3 linked regions of the Drosophila melanogaster genome follow. Changing the gene in region 3 together with the main gene of any one other region gives a genetic interaction. Each region holds a gene or a part of one and is shown on either strand. Other genes may lie near its edges.

Evidence for each region.
Region 1: of bond (region 3) and Pex10, changing one suppresses a phenotype caused by changing the other (phenotypic suppression), as found in Drosophila melanogaster (one study listed by BioGRID).
Region 2: of bond (region 3) and Pex2, changing one suppresses a phenotype caused by changing the other (phenotypic suppression), as found in Drosophila melanogaster (one study listed by BioGRID).

Annotation. Positions count from the first base shown.
Region 1 is NT_037436.4:1,556,289-1,560,935, reverse strand, and holds Pex10 (peroxin 10), read right to left. Parts: upstream 2,709-4,647; 5' UTR 2,375-2,708; intron 2,280-2,374; 5' UTR 2,105-2,279; coding exon 1,832-2,104; intron 1,778-1,831; coding exon 1,151-1,777; 3' UTR 1,073-1,150; downstream 1-1,072. Other genes in the region: CG7879 (uncharacterized protein), read left to right, coding at 1-753; CG12099 (uncharacterized protein), read left to right, coding at 3,054-3,147, 3,222-4,647.
Region 2 is NT_037436.4:8,337,022-8,341,091, reverse strand, and holds Pex2 (peroxin 2), read right to left. Parts: upstream 2,042-4,070; 5' UTR 1,938-2,041; coding exon 1,902-1,937; intron 1,836-1,901; coding exon 1,758-1,835; intron 1,703-1,757; coding exon 1,271-1,702; intron 1,217-1,270; coding exon 917-1,216; 3' UTR 816-916; downstream 1-815. Other genes in the region: Cpr66Cb (cuticular protein 66Cb), read right to left, coding at 2,944-3,180, 3,264-3,503.
Region 3 is NT_033777.3:22,548,092-22,556,825, forward strand, and holds bond (james bond), read left to right. Parts: upstream 1-2,588; 5' UTR 2,589-2,787; intron 2,788-3,662; exon of another isoform or gene 3,663-3,764; intron 3,765-4,006; exon of another isoform or gene 4,007-4,185; intron 4,186-4,534; exon of another isoform or gene 4,535-4,596; intron 4,597-5,583; exon of another isoform or gene 5,584-5,804; intron 5,805-6,445; exon of another isoform or gene 6,446-6,542; 5' UTR 6,543-6,608; coding exon 6,609-6,666; intron 6,667-6,731; coding exon 6,732-6,922; intron 6,923-7,312; coding exon 7,313-8,032; 3' UTR 8,033-8,403; downstream 8,404-8,734.

The sequences.
Region 1 (4,647 bases), on a different chromosome or scaffold from region 3:
GAACGCAACCAGAGCTCCGGCGAGTTTATTGTGGAGTTCAGTGATCCTGCCAGTTGCAAACTGGCCATCAGGGAGTTCCACAATAGACGCTTTCGAGGAAGGGGACTGCGAGTGGTGGCCATCACGCCCCAGGAAATCGCTGATAGGATGAAAAAGCCCTTCATGGATTATCTGCCGGGTGGAAATGGTCCCAGGAAAGCGGAAACTAACAATGCGAATGACGGTGCAGGTGGAAATAAAGCCAGTGCGCAGCCGTCTCGTCGTCGAGGACCCAGCCGCTTTGATAAGCCGCAGGAACAGCCATCGCAACAGCAGGATCGACCGCTATCCCTGGAAAGGGAGGACAACAGCAGCACTAGCTCGAACGCACCCGTTAAACAGCACTTCAATCCCTTCGCTCGACCAGATCCTCCTCTGAGCAGCAGCTCCCTCTCGCCCAGCAATCAGGGTCAAGTCAAGCCAACCTCTCCGGTGCCCGTTCCCACATCCATAATCCCGGACAAGTTCAATCGGCCGGGATGCGTAGTGGCTATGCGCAATGTCCCTTTCAAGGCGGAGCTAAAGGACATCATGCGCTTCTTTAGCGACTACAAGCTTAGCCCGGATGACATTATAAGGCGTTTCAATGATGAAGGCAAACCCACCGGCGACACTCGCGTCGCTTTCGAGTCCCCTTCGGAGGCAAGGTCTGCCTTCGAATCGCGCCGCAAGAAGCAGATATTTAACCGCACTGTCTACCTGGATATCATCTAGGCAATGAGCTTAGAGCCCAAATAATTGTATAATGTAAATAGATAATGTTAAGCCAGACACCAAAAATATTATATATATAAGCAGCATGTACATAAACTTGTTTAAATAAATCGAATAAACCGTGTAAGAAATGCGTTTAAGCATACAAAACCCAGCGAGCGACTGGGAAACTATCATTAACATCAACGATGAAGTATCATTATATTTTGTTTCTGTGCATCCTTTCTTTAGTCTTTTTAAGACTTCACGTAATTTAAGTTGAAGATTTATACCATTTTTTTGACATTACAAATTGTGAATAAATAAATAAAACTTGTTTCATTTATATGAATAAAATATATTACATAGACACAAAAATACTTCCTATAACATGAATATAAAAAGTCTTAATCCAATCTTAGGCATAGTTTTGCAGTAATATCACTTGGGACTTTTTCAGCGACTCCCGGCACAAGGGGCACTCATCCCGCTCCTCCAGCCACTCGAGCAGGCAGCTCCAGCAAAAGATGTGGCCGCATGGAGTCAAACTGCTGTCAGAACGTGGCTCCAGGCAAAGGATGCACTGTGGGGTGTTTGGATCTACGTCCTTTGTACTCGAAGATCTTTGCAGGAAATTCTTTCCAGCCTGCTTTATTGATTCTAGCTGCTGGCGCTTGTGCTCTCTCCAGGCATCCCATCCACTAATGGCCAAGGAAACGCTGACCTGCAGGAAAGTGATTACGCCCAGTATCTTGTAGCCGTACAGCGAGAATTCCGGCTGCAGCCAGTGACGGATTAGTACGTAGTTGATGCCCGTGGTGCGCTTGGACAGCTGGTACTTGCTGGCGTCCAAGTAGAATAGAGACTTGTGCAGGGCCTTTACGTAGCTGGGAGATTGCCTGAGCCTCTGAATAATCTTCTTTAGCTGCGGCTTGATCTCGGTTCGAATCTCGTCATTGTTGGCCACGTAGGTGTCAAGTTTTTGCATCAATCGTTGGAACAGGGAGTCGCCACCAAACTCCAGGACAATGGCAATCAGTTGTAACTAAAAGATGCGCGACGTTTACAAATGTTTTCTTTTCGAGTATTCTTTACTTACCAATCTGCTGGGAATCTGCTTATAGTTCCCGTCCACCTGTATTATCCCCGTGTACTCTTCGCCGAGGGTCTGAAGGTTATTGGCCGAGGCGAATCCGTGGTAACTGAGCTCCGCCAGAAGTCGGCACATCTGGTTGTACTTTATCCAGTTCCGTGGACCGGTGAGGCGCAAGACATCGGACAAGTCTTCGGCCAGCTCGTTGGTGTACCGTGCATCCTTCTGCACGGATCTCACGATCTCCGGCTGCCGGGCGCGGGCGTTCCGAAAGTCCATGTCGTTGGGGGTTACTGCAATGTTGATTCTAACATATCTTATTCAAAGGCCGATCAAAGTGCGGCTCAGATAACAAAATCAGCTGTTATACTTTTGCCTAATTGAGATGACACTTTCTAGGAACATCGGTAACGCAACTTGCAACAGCACATTTTACACAACACAGCTCCGCTCACTTCAAACGTATTATACGAAGTATTAAATTAAAAAAAGTATTTCCTTTAATATTATTTAAATATCCAATGTGACATTATAATTATATATAATTACCTTGTGCGATAGTTTTCTCTGACGAATCACGACCATACCAAAGCACACCATCAGCTCTCTGCGAGGCACTTTCCAGCACTTACAGTCAGCCATTTTCTATCGGGCATCACGGATGCTTTTTTTCCCTGACCAAAGGATATTTGGTTTTTCCATCAAAATTTGTTGATTTCGAGACGTCAAATCGAAACCCCGCGATAGCAGAGACCGTGTGTCGGCAGTGTGTGTGCAATTGGCAAGTGGTAATTGTCGGAAAGATTCGGTTTTGGACCCGCAAAGAGCAGCTAGCGCAGACGTCACACCTTTTTAGGCACCAATACGATTACAGCTACTAATACTACGACCCACAGACTAATAGAACAACAAAACAAGTGCTAGAAAAAGAGAAGAAGAATCGAGCCGCAAGTCCAAGTACTTAAAAAAGTACTTTCGCCTCGAATTTAACTGCACTTACTCGCAAAAGCCGCATTTGATTTTTTGGAAATATTACGCAAGTACTATTTCTAGTCGTACCCGTTGGATAATCATGGCTCAGTAAACATGAATCCGCAACGAGAATACTTTGCTCAGCGCACTCCGTGTGGAGACCTAGGCAAGACGCAATTAGCCGCCCACTGGCAGCTGTCCAGCACCCATACTATTACTATTCCCCAAGACAAGTGCACCTCCAGTATCCACAACGATGGACAGCAACAACAGCAGCAACAGCAAGAAGCAGCCTCAATCCTCTCATCATGGCAAGTCCTCGTCTGCTGAATCGCAAAGGAAGTCCAGTGGTGGGTGCTCCATTCTCCTGATATTTTTATATCCCGAAAAGGTTTTAATATTGGTGCAACCTTCTCCTCCGCAGAGTTACATACCAACAGCAACAAGCAGCGACACAGCCGTCGAAGGAATCAGGTTCCCACACCGCGCAACGATCAGCAACAACAGCCACAGCAGCCAGCAAAGCTACGTCCCAATGTGGACAAGCGTCCGAAGGCTCGCGGGTTTGGAGGCGGTTACGATTTCCCTTCACCCCGTGGCCAGGACGGGGCTTCAGGCAGCTCCCGACTAGCCTACTCCGCCACCGGCTACTCACGTAGCGGTGACTTTGACCATGAACTGAACTCTGTGTATACACAGGGCAGCAAGAAGCAGAATCTGAACCATCTGCTTAACTTCCACTGCGTGCCCAGGGAACTGGAGCGAGGACATCACCATCAGGCCCAACAGCACCACGGCCTGAGTGGCCGAAAGCAGCGCTACAACAAGGAGCAGTTCCTGCAGGCCAACTTTCAGTTCGTCATTAGATCGGGTGCAAAGGCTCAGGTTAATGGCTCGCCGGATGCACTCATCGATTGGAGCTACATCGAGCAGATCAACATACAGACCACTGAGGAGTTGCAGTGCCCCATCTGCCTGTACCCGCCTGTGGCTGCCAAGCTCACCAGATGCGGACACGCCTACTGTTGGCCCTGCTTGCTGCACTACCTCTCGCTGAGCGACAAGACCTGGCGCAAGTGTCCTATCTGCTATGACGCCATCCACGCGGGAGATCTGAAGAGCTGCACCATCGAACAGCTGAGGGATTTGCAAGTGGGCGAGAAGATTACCTTCCAGTTGATGCGGCGTCGCAAGGGCTCCATGTACATTGAAAATCATGTTGCAGGATTGGGCGAAACAATTGAACGTTTCCCCTTTGTGTCCGCTGGTGAAGAGGCTAAACGCTACTCAAAGTTTCTAATAGCCAAGCGGATGGATGTGGCCGCCATCATCGAGAGGGAGCGTAACGAACTGCTAGCCGAATCGGATGTCTCCTGTCCCGAGGATGTGTTCATCCAGCAAGCGCTGGTGATGCTTCAGGAGCGTGTTGAGAAGTTGGGTGTCGAGAAACCTGATCCGAAAGAGGATGAAGAGGAGACAGCACCTGTACTTTGCCTAGAAACCGAGACCAAGATTGATATTGAGAAGTCAGACGATGCCTCCATCTCGTCGGGAGAAGCATCCAGCAGCCTTAGCTACTCGAGCAACCATAATAAATACTATTATTTCTACCAGTCAAACGACGGACAGAATATTTACTTGCATCCCTTGAACGTGAAGATGCTTCAGGCTTGCTACGGCACCTTGGACTTGGGTCCGCTACTCATCGAAGCCCAAATCGTGCAGATGGAACAGCACTCTATGGATGAGGAGCATCGACGCAAGTTCACTTGTCTTGGCCACTTGCCTTTGACTTGTCAGTTTTCGGTTGTGGAAGTCGAATTGCAGCCGCCAGTGGTCACTGGAGGAAT
Region 2 (4,070 bases), on a different chromosome or scaffold from region 3:
TTACTGACCTTGATATGTGAAATCAGTTCGCGTTGCGAATATATTTAAACAATTATATATATACGCAATTGATGGCCAAGTGTATTTGTTATTATTTCAGCACTTTCTGTTTTCAATTGTTTGCTCTCGTTTTCTTATTTTCGCTGGTTATGCCTTTATTTATTTTTATGCAATTACGCAACTCCAAAAAAATTGTTTAATTCGTGGGTTTCCAACTACTTGTCGTGTTCTTGGTGAAGCGATTAATTGTATTGTTTTCTTCAAAAAAATTCGGACAAAGACGAAATGCGCAGCAGAAAAATGAGATAATAACAAAGTAATGGCGTTGCCACATCGCCGCAGGCAGCTGATTCGCGAAATTGCAAAACAAATTGGGTGTGGCTTTGCCACCCAAAAAATATGAATATTAATCATGTTCTTAGTCTATCTATCTAATCTAGTGGCTTAAATACGGTTAGAGCTACTTAACAGTTGAGTTCATATAATTGCTTAATTTATTTGCCACATTTGGCAACGCTGGTTGAGAATGCAACAGCTGTTCCCATATTTTCGCGCGCTTTTTATTTACCAAAGATAGGGATTTAGAACTTACTTTTTGATCTTAACTGTTGTTCTTGGAAAATCAGCAGTTAACTTTGGATCCGCAAGGCTTTATACTTCGCCCTAAACAGTTTTTGCTTTTTATTTTCGTTTAATTATACACTTTTTATGTAGTTTATATCGCACGACTCCTGGCACTGGGCAAGTAAATAATAGCTGTTTTTGTACGACTACCAACACTACTCTGCTTGCTAACACTAAAAGTACACACATTTGGCGGAATATGAAAATGATTTGTTTATTACTTACAGCCCACTTTTCGCTTAAAACTAATAAAAGACATATAAAACCATCACATGCACTATATTCCTATTTATCAGACACTTTGGATTCCCGACTCAGGACACGCAGAACCGCAGTTGGGGCAGCAGAAACTGGCATCCGTTAAAACATTTGCATTAAGGCAGTAATAGCAATAAATATGACCACAGCCCATGTGGTGGGGCAATGTGGGTCGCTCTCCACAGAATGTGCAGGTGGTGCTTAGTGTCATCTGCGGCGCCAGGAAAGCCGGACCATCTCTATCCTCTAACCGTCGTCCGGAAAATGTCCATGATTTTAGCACTCTTTGTAGCTTACGGAAATTGATGATGGGCAACACCAGTCCGAGGATTTCCTATAATATACACTGTAATATATATGTATAATAAGCAAACTAACTAACACGCACCATAAATCCTCCCCACAGCAGCTCCCTCGTTAGGTACTTGTAGCCAATGTCTCTCCTTTGATTGTTCCGCAGACTAATGTAGTCCAATCCCAATAAGTAGTCCACCAAAGTGGGTTTTCGTCCTGTCTTCAGGAACCGAAAGTAATTGAGGATGTTCAGTATCAGGGCACTGTTCTCCACCCACATAATCGCCTCGCTAAACCATTCTACGCGCCTTGTTAAGCGTCGCTCCTCCCAGCTCTTCACGTAGCCCGGCAAGACGGTCAGGATGAAATGGAGCACCAGCCTGGAAACGGTCAGCTTTTCGGCATCGTAAGCCAGAACCAGTAGCTGTTGGCCAAAAGTGGAGCACCGCTTGCCGACGGAACCAAACCAAATTGCGGATTGAATGATCAAGTCGAGCTCCGGTTGGATTTTGATGAACAAAACGGGCTGTGAGAGATATACAGTATATATTGGCCAATTATGGTAGTGTTCATATACTCACTGAGATGGCTTGCAAGTTCTCCAGCAGATTATCGCGTATCAGGCGGGCAATGTCCTTGTTCAAATAGATGGCATCTATCTAAAAGGTAAACATGTATAATTTTAGTGGTTTTAATTCATGAATAGCTCACCATAATTAGCTCACCTGATTTACACGTGGTACATATTTGTTTTTCTCCATTATTTTGTTTATATTCTTGCCTTTGGTTAGCTGACCATTGATATATTTCTTATTTATATGTACTCTGCCCTTTCTTATCAATTAGAGATGGCAATTGTAAAGAAAGTTTACTAGTCATTATCGACATTTTTAAACAGTGCTGGTAAACTATATCGACAAACCCCGCCAAATTTAAACTAGCCATACTAGCAATGCGGTTTGATTTTTTATTTATTGCTAATTGAAATCAGCTTATATATCAATTACATCGACATTTCGAAGAAACTCCAAGTCTTTTAACCATTTAGGAAGCATTTTCCGTCAACATTTCAATTAAGGCTTATGCAATTTCAATGAAAACAAATACAAGAAACCACAATGAACTGAAGAACTCGTTTGGGATCCGGAAAATGTGTCTAACGATGTCTGGTAATTTGTGGAAATCTTGCCCATTGCCGTTTACGTCTGGAAACGCATAAACCAGTTGGTCAGCTGAGACATTTGGTCATTTGTTTGAGGAGTGCAAGTTCAATGATTGGCCCCGGCTGAAAAAATTATGGCCAGTGGTCGGGTGAGTTTTGATTTTATAAAAAGTACATAATTCACACTTTATTACACAATTTACAATTTCTTCGTTCGATCTCTGTTTTACGAGAAGACATAAGTATACATTACAGTTTACAGATTATAGATTATAGATTAAAGATTAAGGCAAACAGTCGAGTAGTGATCGGTAAATTCGTCTGAGCAGGTAGTGACTAAGGATCAGTTGAAAGCGGAAGATACACATAGAAGTTATTCGCTATCACAGAATAAAATACAATATACAAAATGTTAATGAAATGGCCATGGACAGGATGTGATCCTTGGCCTGGGTGTGTGCTGATGTCCTAATTACGAGATATGAAGCTGATTCCATGGTCGACCGATGTGGATATGCTTGTCCCTCCTCCTAGTCCTCATAATCCTCCTCCCACTTCCGGCTGATGAGCAATTTGGCTAACTCTAGTGCGCAGTGTGTACTAGCTTAGTAGTGGTGTTCGTGCAGCTCCTCATGATGATGCACTGGAGCGGTCTTGTGGACCACGGCGTTGAATCCATTGTGCTTGTCGGCGGTGTAGTCCACGGTGCGGATGGAACCATCGGGCTCCACCAGGGAGTACTGTCCCTTGACGGTGTCACCATCGCGGGTCTCGTGCTGCGACTTCACATCTCCGGTGTGGAAGTCATTCACGCCGTACTTGAAAGCATATTTGGGAGGAGCCTGTTAAGAAACAACATTTCATCATCATCATCTCTTTGATTATAGTTTATAGTGTAATTTTGAATTTCAGAAACAATACTCACATAGTAATCCACATGTTCATCATGTCCGTGAGACTCGTGGGTCTCGTAGTGGGGCTCAGCGTGTTCGAGGTGACCGTGCTCCTCGCCCAGTGAGATGCGTTCGATTTGATGGTGGCCATACTCATGGATGGGCTCCGGTTCGTGATGGGCCAGGTGCTCATATCCATGGCTCTCCTCGTAGTACTGGTGCTCCAACGGATAGGCGAGGCTCAGGCACAGAGCCGAGGCGAAGATCAGATACTGCAAGATCAGATAGGTGGGTGCATAATTAGCAACTAATTGTTTCCGTTGACGGAGTGTGTGTAGTTGCAAGTGCTGCAATTAGCGTTGGAGGACTTGCTGGCCACAGACAGTAGCTATCCATGTTATGGCTGCTTTGCAATTTCGGACTTTTTCCTCTTGCTGGTCTTAATGAATTCATAATCAAGTGTTTGCTGTGGTCGACTGACGCTTTTGTTTGGATATACTTTTAGTGGTTACTTTGTGGTTTACTGGCTGACTGCAAATTTGTTGGTTAACTAAGCGGGAGGTTTATTTAACTAAAGCAAAAGTGTGAGTTTTTTCCTAAATCCTAAAACGATTTACTTTAATAGGTGCTTTTGTTTGAACTGTGGTTTTTGAGGTTGTCTTTAAATTGGTTTTTTAATTAGCACAAAATAGCTAAATTGATTTAGTGAAATTTTGTCAGGATGATTTTTAAACTGAAATTTAGTGGTCCTGACGAATATTTTACTAAAAGCGCCTTTCTTTGAGCTCCTAGTCTGTCATTCTCTACATTTATAATTTTTCTTTAGTATAGTAAATAGT
Region 3 (8,734 bases):
AAATATTGGATATTTGCGTAAATACCTAACAGGCATTTGTTTTTTTTTTCATGAGAAATTACCGTGACGAAATTACAAGACGTATATTATATGAATAGAAAATTTTCCTCTAGTCTGTAAACACTTCAGTAACAGAGAAATTGTTTTCAAAAAATGTTAAGGCATCTCATTAAAAAACATCAACAATGAACTCAACTTAAGCCTGGTAGTTATGAATTAGCATGTGTAGTTCCCCGATATTTAACCTACTTAAGTATGCACATATCTGCCATTCCTTGGACACTTTTGCAAAGACAACAAAGACAACATCACAGCTTACTTAAAATATATATATTTAAATTAATTAATTAAAGTAATACAAGAATGTCTAATTATAGCTTTTTTAGAAATAGCATTACGGTGTTATAAAAACCCACAAATGTAGGCAAATAACAATTCTAATAATAAAGAAACTTAATTGGGAAGACAAAATGGTGTTTGGCTAGTGAGGAAATATCACCAGCCTTGCAGGCCCAATAAAGATTCACTTGTTTGGCAAGCTCTTAATAGCGCAATTTAACTACGTTTTAATAGCGCCCTTAGAATATTTATTGCACATAAAGGCCAATATGTTTAGTCAAGAGTCATTCATCTTTGTTAAACAAATTCAATTTCAAACATAAGACTATAGAACTTGCTTTGCTCAGGGGCAGCCCATCAAGATGATATACCCTATTGACCAATCCAGGCCAATATCATCCATCAGCTCTCGGCGTTCTGACCAGCTACGTTAGAAACTCGGCCAAGGAGCAGATTTCGCACAGACCCCGACTAGCGGTATTAATCGACTGAATTAATACATTTAGTAGCGCTGAAGTTCAGGGTCATAATCACAAAAGAGAAGCGCCGATAATGCGAGCTGTTTCTGTTTGAATGACGAGCGCGCGACAAAAAATGCTAAACGGCCAATGTGCTTCAAATGGAAATGGAAATGCCAAAGACCCGGAAGGGTGGCGACCAACACAGCTGCAGTGCATCCAACTCGGCAAACATTTGCATATTTGACCGGGCACTTAGCACGTGGGTGGAGTACATGGATCACCATGGGTCACACAAATCACCTGGGAATCTGGGAGACTGGTGAGAGTAAGTGCGTGAAATTGACCCATTCATTGGACGGACAATCGCTTCCCATCGATCTGGAAATGTGTTAACTGCGCCCGTAAACCCTATTTGCGTAGTTAAATTAAGTGCCAGGTTATGGAGTTGGGGCGTGTCATCCCCCACATTGGCACATATATATATATATATATAAGCACTTATAACTATGCTGCCAATTGAGTTCGTCTCAATGACGTGACGGCGATAATAAATCAATTGTCTAGCGGTTTATTTAAAGCCAATTTTGTAGCTGGAAATTGGCACACAGAAAGAAAAGTGGTGTCAGGAACTTATATATAAAATGTTATTATTTTGGTTATTTTTAAAGGGTCTAATGGAACTATTTTTATTATAAAAATGTAGATAATTTTTTAAGCATTTCTTTATAGAGATGTTTTTAGAAAAATGTTTTTTTAAATGGGCACACAGAAAGAAAAGTGGTGTCAGGAACTTACATATATAAAATATTATCCATATCTATTTTGTTAATTTTAAAGGGTCTAATGGAACTATTTTTATTACAAAAATGTAGTTAATTTTTTAAGCATTTCTTTATAGAGATGTTTTTTAGAAATAACACAGTATCAAACGAAAGTGGCGAGGATGACGCAAAATCCAATTAACCTGAGTTATCACTGAAAGGTCAAAGCACATAATAAAAATATAAACTCCATCGTGCGGTCTAAAAATCGCGACACATTATATATAAATATAAAGTGCATGTATATATTTTTTTAGAAATTCATTCCAAACACTTTCAGTGGCATACAAACAGATTTTCATAAAATTGTTAACAATTTATGATGATGAACTAGAGTCTCTCATAGTATGTTCTATGTATGTTCGTTAAATTCTAAACATATACCATAATATATATATGTATATGTATACATGTATACTAATATTGAAGTATATTTCGTTTTTACTGTGTACTTTTTCGCTTCCCTCTTTGCTTTCGTTTTCTTTTTGCCGCTCTTTTTGCGATAGGATCTGCATGTTTTTTTGGCCAACCGGGAAAGGGTTAATAAACTTGTTCAAAATAAACCAAGAAAAAGCATGGCTTATCTGCTGCTGTTAGCAGTTTTGCTTTCTTTTCTCGCCACAGACATTCATTTTAATGGCTTCAAACTTGACCTTAGCACCAGAAAGCACCAAAAAATCAGTAAAGATAAAACCAAAACTAAATGTTTCTAAAGCAAAAATAAAATAAAAAAAAAAAAAAAGAAACCGCCGCGCAACTTAAATTGGCCATTAACGCAACTTCGACTTGCATCGTATCGAACCCGGCCGAGTGACGCAAAAATCAACTAAAAAAAAAGGTTAAGTATACGCCGTGCGGGCCGTGCCGCGACTGCGCTGCCAGCGTCGCCAGCGACGGCGGCGTCAAATGTTGGCCGGCCTGCGAAGCGCGTTCATTTTGTTTATTTATACAGCCGAGCGGGTAGAACTCCATATTAGTGTCTTCTTGGCGTTTGCCGCAGTCGAGTCCGAGTCCGAGTCCGAATCCGAATTCGAGTTTCGAGTCCGTAAACTGTAACTGAATCTTCAGGCTACGGTCGTAGTGCGATTGTGTGTGTGTGCGCGCCAGTGCGTGTGTGTGTTAGCCAAGTTCCAAGCAGGGAATCGAGTCAGCCGAAAAACCAACAGGTACGGAAGTGATATGAATTCATTTTTTGGGGCAACCTAAAGGCGTGATGAAAGTGTTGCATAAATTGGAGAGCAGTTCTTGGGCAAAAAAAAAAAAAAAACAAAAAAAAAACTGAGAGCTCGATTGGCAGTGGCTGGTCTAAGCCTGGCTAACTTTGCTGCCACCACCGCCATTGGTCCGTCTGATATTTCTCGTCGACCTTAACCCAATGCATCGTACATAGATTAAATGCTGAAAACTCGCTTGAGGAGCTGCAATTTTGCCAGTCAGCCAAGGCCAAGACTCTGGCTGCAGCATTGAGGCGGCCAAATCTAAACGATTTGAACTTGTAATCGATTGCGATTCAATTTGCAGCTGCACTAGCCAAATGGCCTTCAATAGCACCAAGCAAATGGCCGCCTGACACTATGGCCAAACTGAACACTCCCCCTCACGAAGATGACCACATTTCATGGTTAGGCAAACAGATTAGAAGTCGCTGTTCCCACGAAGAGACCACGGCCCATATCCGTTACAGTTTCTAACGACAACAACACAGACAGACGCAGAGGGTTTCGTTTGGGCCAGGAAAAAAATCCAATTAACGCCGCAAATATTTACAGAGTAATTAAAGGTTGTCAGTCGGCCCAAAAAGTCACCAGCAACAAACTCTGGCTTAAGACGCACAGGGGAAAAAGGTTTTTAAGTCATCTTTCGCGTTTCCTAAATAATATTAATATATTTTATTTTAACGAAAATTGAACTAAACAGTTTTGTTGATAGCCAAACAGATTTTTTGAACTATTTATATATACTTTCATATATGTCTCAAAAAGCAATTAGCTAGGGAATTTGCTAAGCTTAGTTTTAATCGCATTTTAAAACATTTTCTTACCGTGTGGGTTATAGTTATGGATGTATCTATGTGGCGTTTCTGCGGTTTGCCAACTGCTGGCTGACTCGACGCGTTTTTGTGCCTCCTCTGTAAATGCCTCGGCTGGCAAAAAAAAAAAAATTAATTTACAGCGCTAAGCAAGCATGAAACCATAAAACATGTGCACTTGACACAGGCAAAACTAAATGATTAACCTGTTGCACTCTGGAGCCACGTCGGGAAAATAACAATGTGGAAAAAAAAATTAAACAATTTTCAGGGTGCTCGACCCGTTTACATACCCTACCCGATCTACTCAGTACTCATGATTCTATGGATCCATTCGATTGCATCGCAACACCTACCACATTTCCAAACTTCAATGGGCTAATGTATTCGGGAATTTCACATGGCTAATTGTTGTCATTCGGCGAACACTCAAGTGCGTGTGAAAATCGTGCTGTCTGTAATCTATAGAAAAACATCCGCCCCATTGGACTGCAATTTACACAGCATATATGTAGCTATATCATTTTGAGGAGTTCTGCAACAGAAAGGAAAATAATAAAAAAATATTTAAACCAAGACTAGTTTACTATCATAAATTGCATGTACTTGGGATTTTCCAAACACAAATCATATTTTTTTTTTCTGGTGTACACACGTGGCGACATAACACACGAAATACCTGAGCTTCTAGGCGCAAAGTTGCAAAAAAAAAGAAACATGCAAAACTTGCTGATTTAAACTGGTGGCACATTAACAACGTTTAAATCGCAGCAGCAGATACAGATACATTTACATATAGACATATGCGCAGATGAAAGACTAATGCCCCATCGGCCTTCATTAGATTTCGAATTAGTGGCGAATTAAGTTGTTTTTATCCGAACCTTTTATTTTTAGAGGCAAGTTCGTAAAAATTAACGCTTTATTCGGTGCTTTTCCGCACCGTAACAGACGTATGGATATTTAGATACTATTCGCATTAGTCACAACATTTGAAATTATGGCAAAGCCGTGTTCGAGTGCTGGGTAAACCCAATTCCCAGTTCTCAGTCCACAGTTCCGAGTGCCAAGTATCCAAATATCGAGTGTTCTGATACTGCTGACAAGGCAGCACCTCTTAAAGGGTACAAAAATTTGCAAAAGCGAAAATCAATTATGCATACAATACACATAATTTTAATGCGTGCGCGGCAGAATGTGGTTGCTGGCTGCTTCTGCGTTTATTTTTAATTTATTTAAGGCGGAAGACCTGCTCAGCTCACAGAATCTGTGCTCCACTGCCGTCGTATGGGATACTGAAGTAATGGCTATAGATGTGGCCTTTGGTTAACCGAAAGTGTGGCACCAGAAGGTGCTGGGGTTACCCAAAAAAGGGAAGCTGCCATCCAAAAGGGGCGTAGCCAGAAGGGGGATCAACGTCAGCAGCTGCGAAGGCAGCCAGCGGAACACTCGCCTGACTTTCAATTGGCGTCACATTTTTGGTCGACTGCGATCATGATCATGATGATGATGATGATGATGTAGTTGATGCGGCAGCCAGCTCACTTTTCCTGTCTCCAGTGTCAGTCTATATGATTGCCAAGTGTCTTGCATACGAATGGGTCTGGGAATGGCAATACCTATATCTATATAGCTATATGGCTATATGGCTATATGTCTATATGGCTATATGGCTAAGGGAAGGCGAAGTCAATTGCGAACGGCTTAACCCTGACAGAGACCTAGTCTCAGTCGCTGTCGATCGGCGGTAGTCAAAACATATCAATCATACGCCGAGTGTGTCCAATTAGCGACTGTGGCAGGTGTTTGCTCTGTTCTTCGGCCAGGCCAGGCCAGACTCTCCAAATCAAATTACACGCCATGTGATCATCCATGAAGAGTGCTACTGCAATCAGAAGGGAACAAAACTCCAGTCATCCCAGAATCATTATAGAGCAGGCCGTGCCTTTAAAATTCAAAGTACAAGCACATAAATTCGATCAAGTTTGACAACTAGTTTTATACCGTTCCGATTTGTGACATTCCCAACTGGACATCTTCTAGCATACCAGCTAATTATACAAACCAATCTATATACATTTTACCACACATATATATATATATATATAAATTCGAGAATCTTCGCCCGAACGAGTTCCGGTTGGAGTTGGCTAGGTCAGTGGTTAATGAGGAGAACACCTCGAAATGTTACATAAGAAACGAGTTCTGGCTGCCGTGTAATTGAATATATTCGATGGGTCATTTTCAATCAAACTCTTTTTCCGTGTGCAATTTAAATAACAATGTGAGGCAAGAACACGAGCCCCAGTGGCTAGAACATAAACTCCGAGTGCCGTGCCGATTTTATCTGAACAGTAAAGCTGAAAAAGACAATCGCAGATGTTCAGGGAGATGCCAAGATGAATGCCAAAGATAGTATTAACTTTAGTGCCAAGGCGAGAAATTCAAATGAAGCCTTGAGTCCGGATTTTTTTCAGGTTTCTACTGTCACTGACTTGCGGTCTTGGCTTCGGCCAAGAATCTTAGATCTTTAAGACATTCTCGTTCGATTCTATTGAATCGAGAGATTCACATATGTCTAGTTATATCGTTGAGCTGCACCACCCTTATCTTTGCTGTCGTCATTCATCATTCGATTGGGGATAACTTAATAAGCGATTTCTTCGCGCCTTTCATTAATAAATCTTTGGCGTGCCTCGGCACAAATTCCAATGCAAATCACGATCCTCGGCGAGCCGAGCAGAAACAAACGTGCTGAGCCTCTCCAAGCGATCGCGATTTAGAATACCTATTTTCATTCAATATTTCGGCAACGCGGCGTACGGACGTCGGGCTCTGAATTCTCGATTTTTGGGCGAAAATTTCTAAAGCTCGTAAGCCTCTTTCTTTCAGTTGCCAATTGACAATTGCCAGTTGCAGAAACAGTAACAGTAACGAAAACAGAAACAGAAAGCCAATATGACGAACTACATAAAGATTGTCGAGGAGCGAATCTCCGGCCTCTCAAAAGGAGTGGGTAAGTTGAATCGAAATAGGTATGCATATATATCAAATGAAACTAATGATTCGAATACCATTTAGATGAGACGGTGGACAGCTGGTTCCTAATGAGCTCACCTATGCCCGTGGTGGCCGTGGTTCTCGTCTATCTGGCGTTTGTTCTGAAAATCGGACCCGAGTACATGAAGAATCGCAAGCCCATGGACCTCAAGCGCATCATGGTGTTCTATAATGCCTTTCAGGTCTTGTACTCCATTTGGATGTGCCGCACGGTGAGTCCATAAAACGGAGCGTCATAATTATTCAGCTTGTTTCGCGATCTCGATTTATGTATTATTCATTTTTAATAAGAAAAGCAGCGTCAAGTGCTTGTCGAACATACAAAGTTGCGACCTACGTTATATTGTCATTAAATATATTAAGCTAAACCAATTTAAACCAATTGTGCAGAGAATTCGTTTATTTGAAGACTCTATTTGTGAATTTTTATTTCACATACTATTATACAATTCAATTGCAAATCGATGTCGCGCTTTAATGAATGAACAAATTAACTGCACTTGAATAAGAAATTTAAATAAAATAGCGTTTTTAAGCAGCAAATTAAAAATAATAAAATATATGAGGATTAATTTCCCCTTTTCTTTTTTTTTTTTTTGCAGTCCATCCAAGAGAGCAATGTGATGGCGTCGATCTTCTCGAAGAAGTGCGAGATTAACCGCACCAGGGAGCAGAATCTGACCCTCTATTCCGGTGCCTGGTTCTACTTTTTCTCGAAGATCATCGATCTGCTGGACACGACGTTCTTTGTGCTGCGCAAGAAGGACAACCAGGTGTCCTTCCTACACGTGTACCATCACACCATCACGGTGCTCTTCTCCTGGGGCTACCTGAAGTACGCTCCCGGCGAGCAGGGCGTGATCATTGGCATTCTCAACTCGGGCGTGCACATTATCATGTACTTCTACTACATGGTGGCCGCAATGGGACCCCAGTACCAGAAGTACCTGTGGTGGAAGAAGTACATGACCAGCATCCAGCTGATCCAGTTCGTCCTCATCCTGGGCTACATGCTGACCGTGGGCGCCAAGGGCTGCAACATGCCCAAGACACTGACCTTCTTCTTCGTGGGCAACACGGTCATCTTCCTTTACCTGTTCGGCAATTTCTATCGCAAGACCTACAAGAAGGCCAAGTCCGTGGATGGAGGCAGTCGCACCACCGGCAGTAGTTTGGCTCAATCCGCTCTGCGTGCCGCCGGCGGTATGGGTTGCATGCCGCAGACCATGAACGCCGGTAAGCATCTGCTCCAGAATGGCCAGGTCGGAAAGGCGTACATCGATCTGAACAACAACAGCGTGAAGCCCATGAAGCTGGAATGATCGGCGATGCCGAAAATGGTGTCGTTGGGATTTCAGTTAGCAATTATGTTTTTTAGAGCGGGGCTTAGTTCGTAACTCTTACCTTTACCTTTACCATTACCAACTATCAGTAGTCTGTAGTCTGCGGAGAATAACTTGTATAATGTTTATATGCCGGGCAGGCGGATGATGATTCAAATCCAAAAAGTAGCTAGGACCCTAAGTGCGTGAATGTGGCCATGTTTGTGTGACTGAGTATGTGTTAATGTTTTTCTAGCTGAGCGTGTATGAGAGCTAGTGTGATAGAGCTTATTAATGAAATGCAGCCGTAAATCGTTTCGCAAAACAAGAAAAATTCAATAAAACTTTAATTTTGTATATTTAATAAAACCAAAAAAGTCTGTGTCTGTTCTTTGCCGGTGAAATTCGGGTTCAGGTTTTGGGTTTTGGGGGTTTTTGGACTTCTATTTCTGCGCGAAGCTCTTGGGTTAGGTAATCAAACCGGATCCCATTGGATCCTATTATTTATGACAACGGCATGGCCACGCGCTCCATCCACACGCAAAGAAAAATTATGCAGATCTGCAAACCATTAAACGTGATTAATATCTGTCGATTGAGTGAAGATATACTACCTCTTTTTGTGCCAACTGTCTAATCAGAGAACAGATTAGAAATATCATAAAACAAAAGCACAAATTTTTGCATCCCTAAAAAACGATT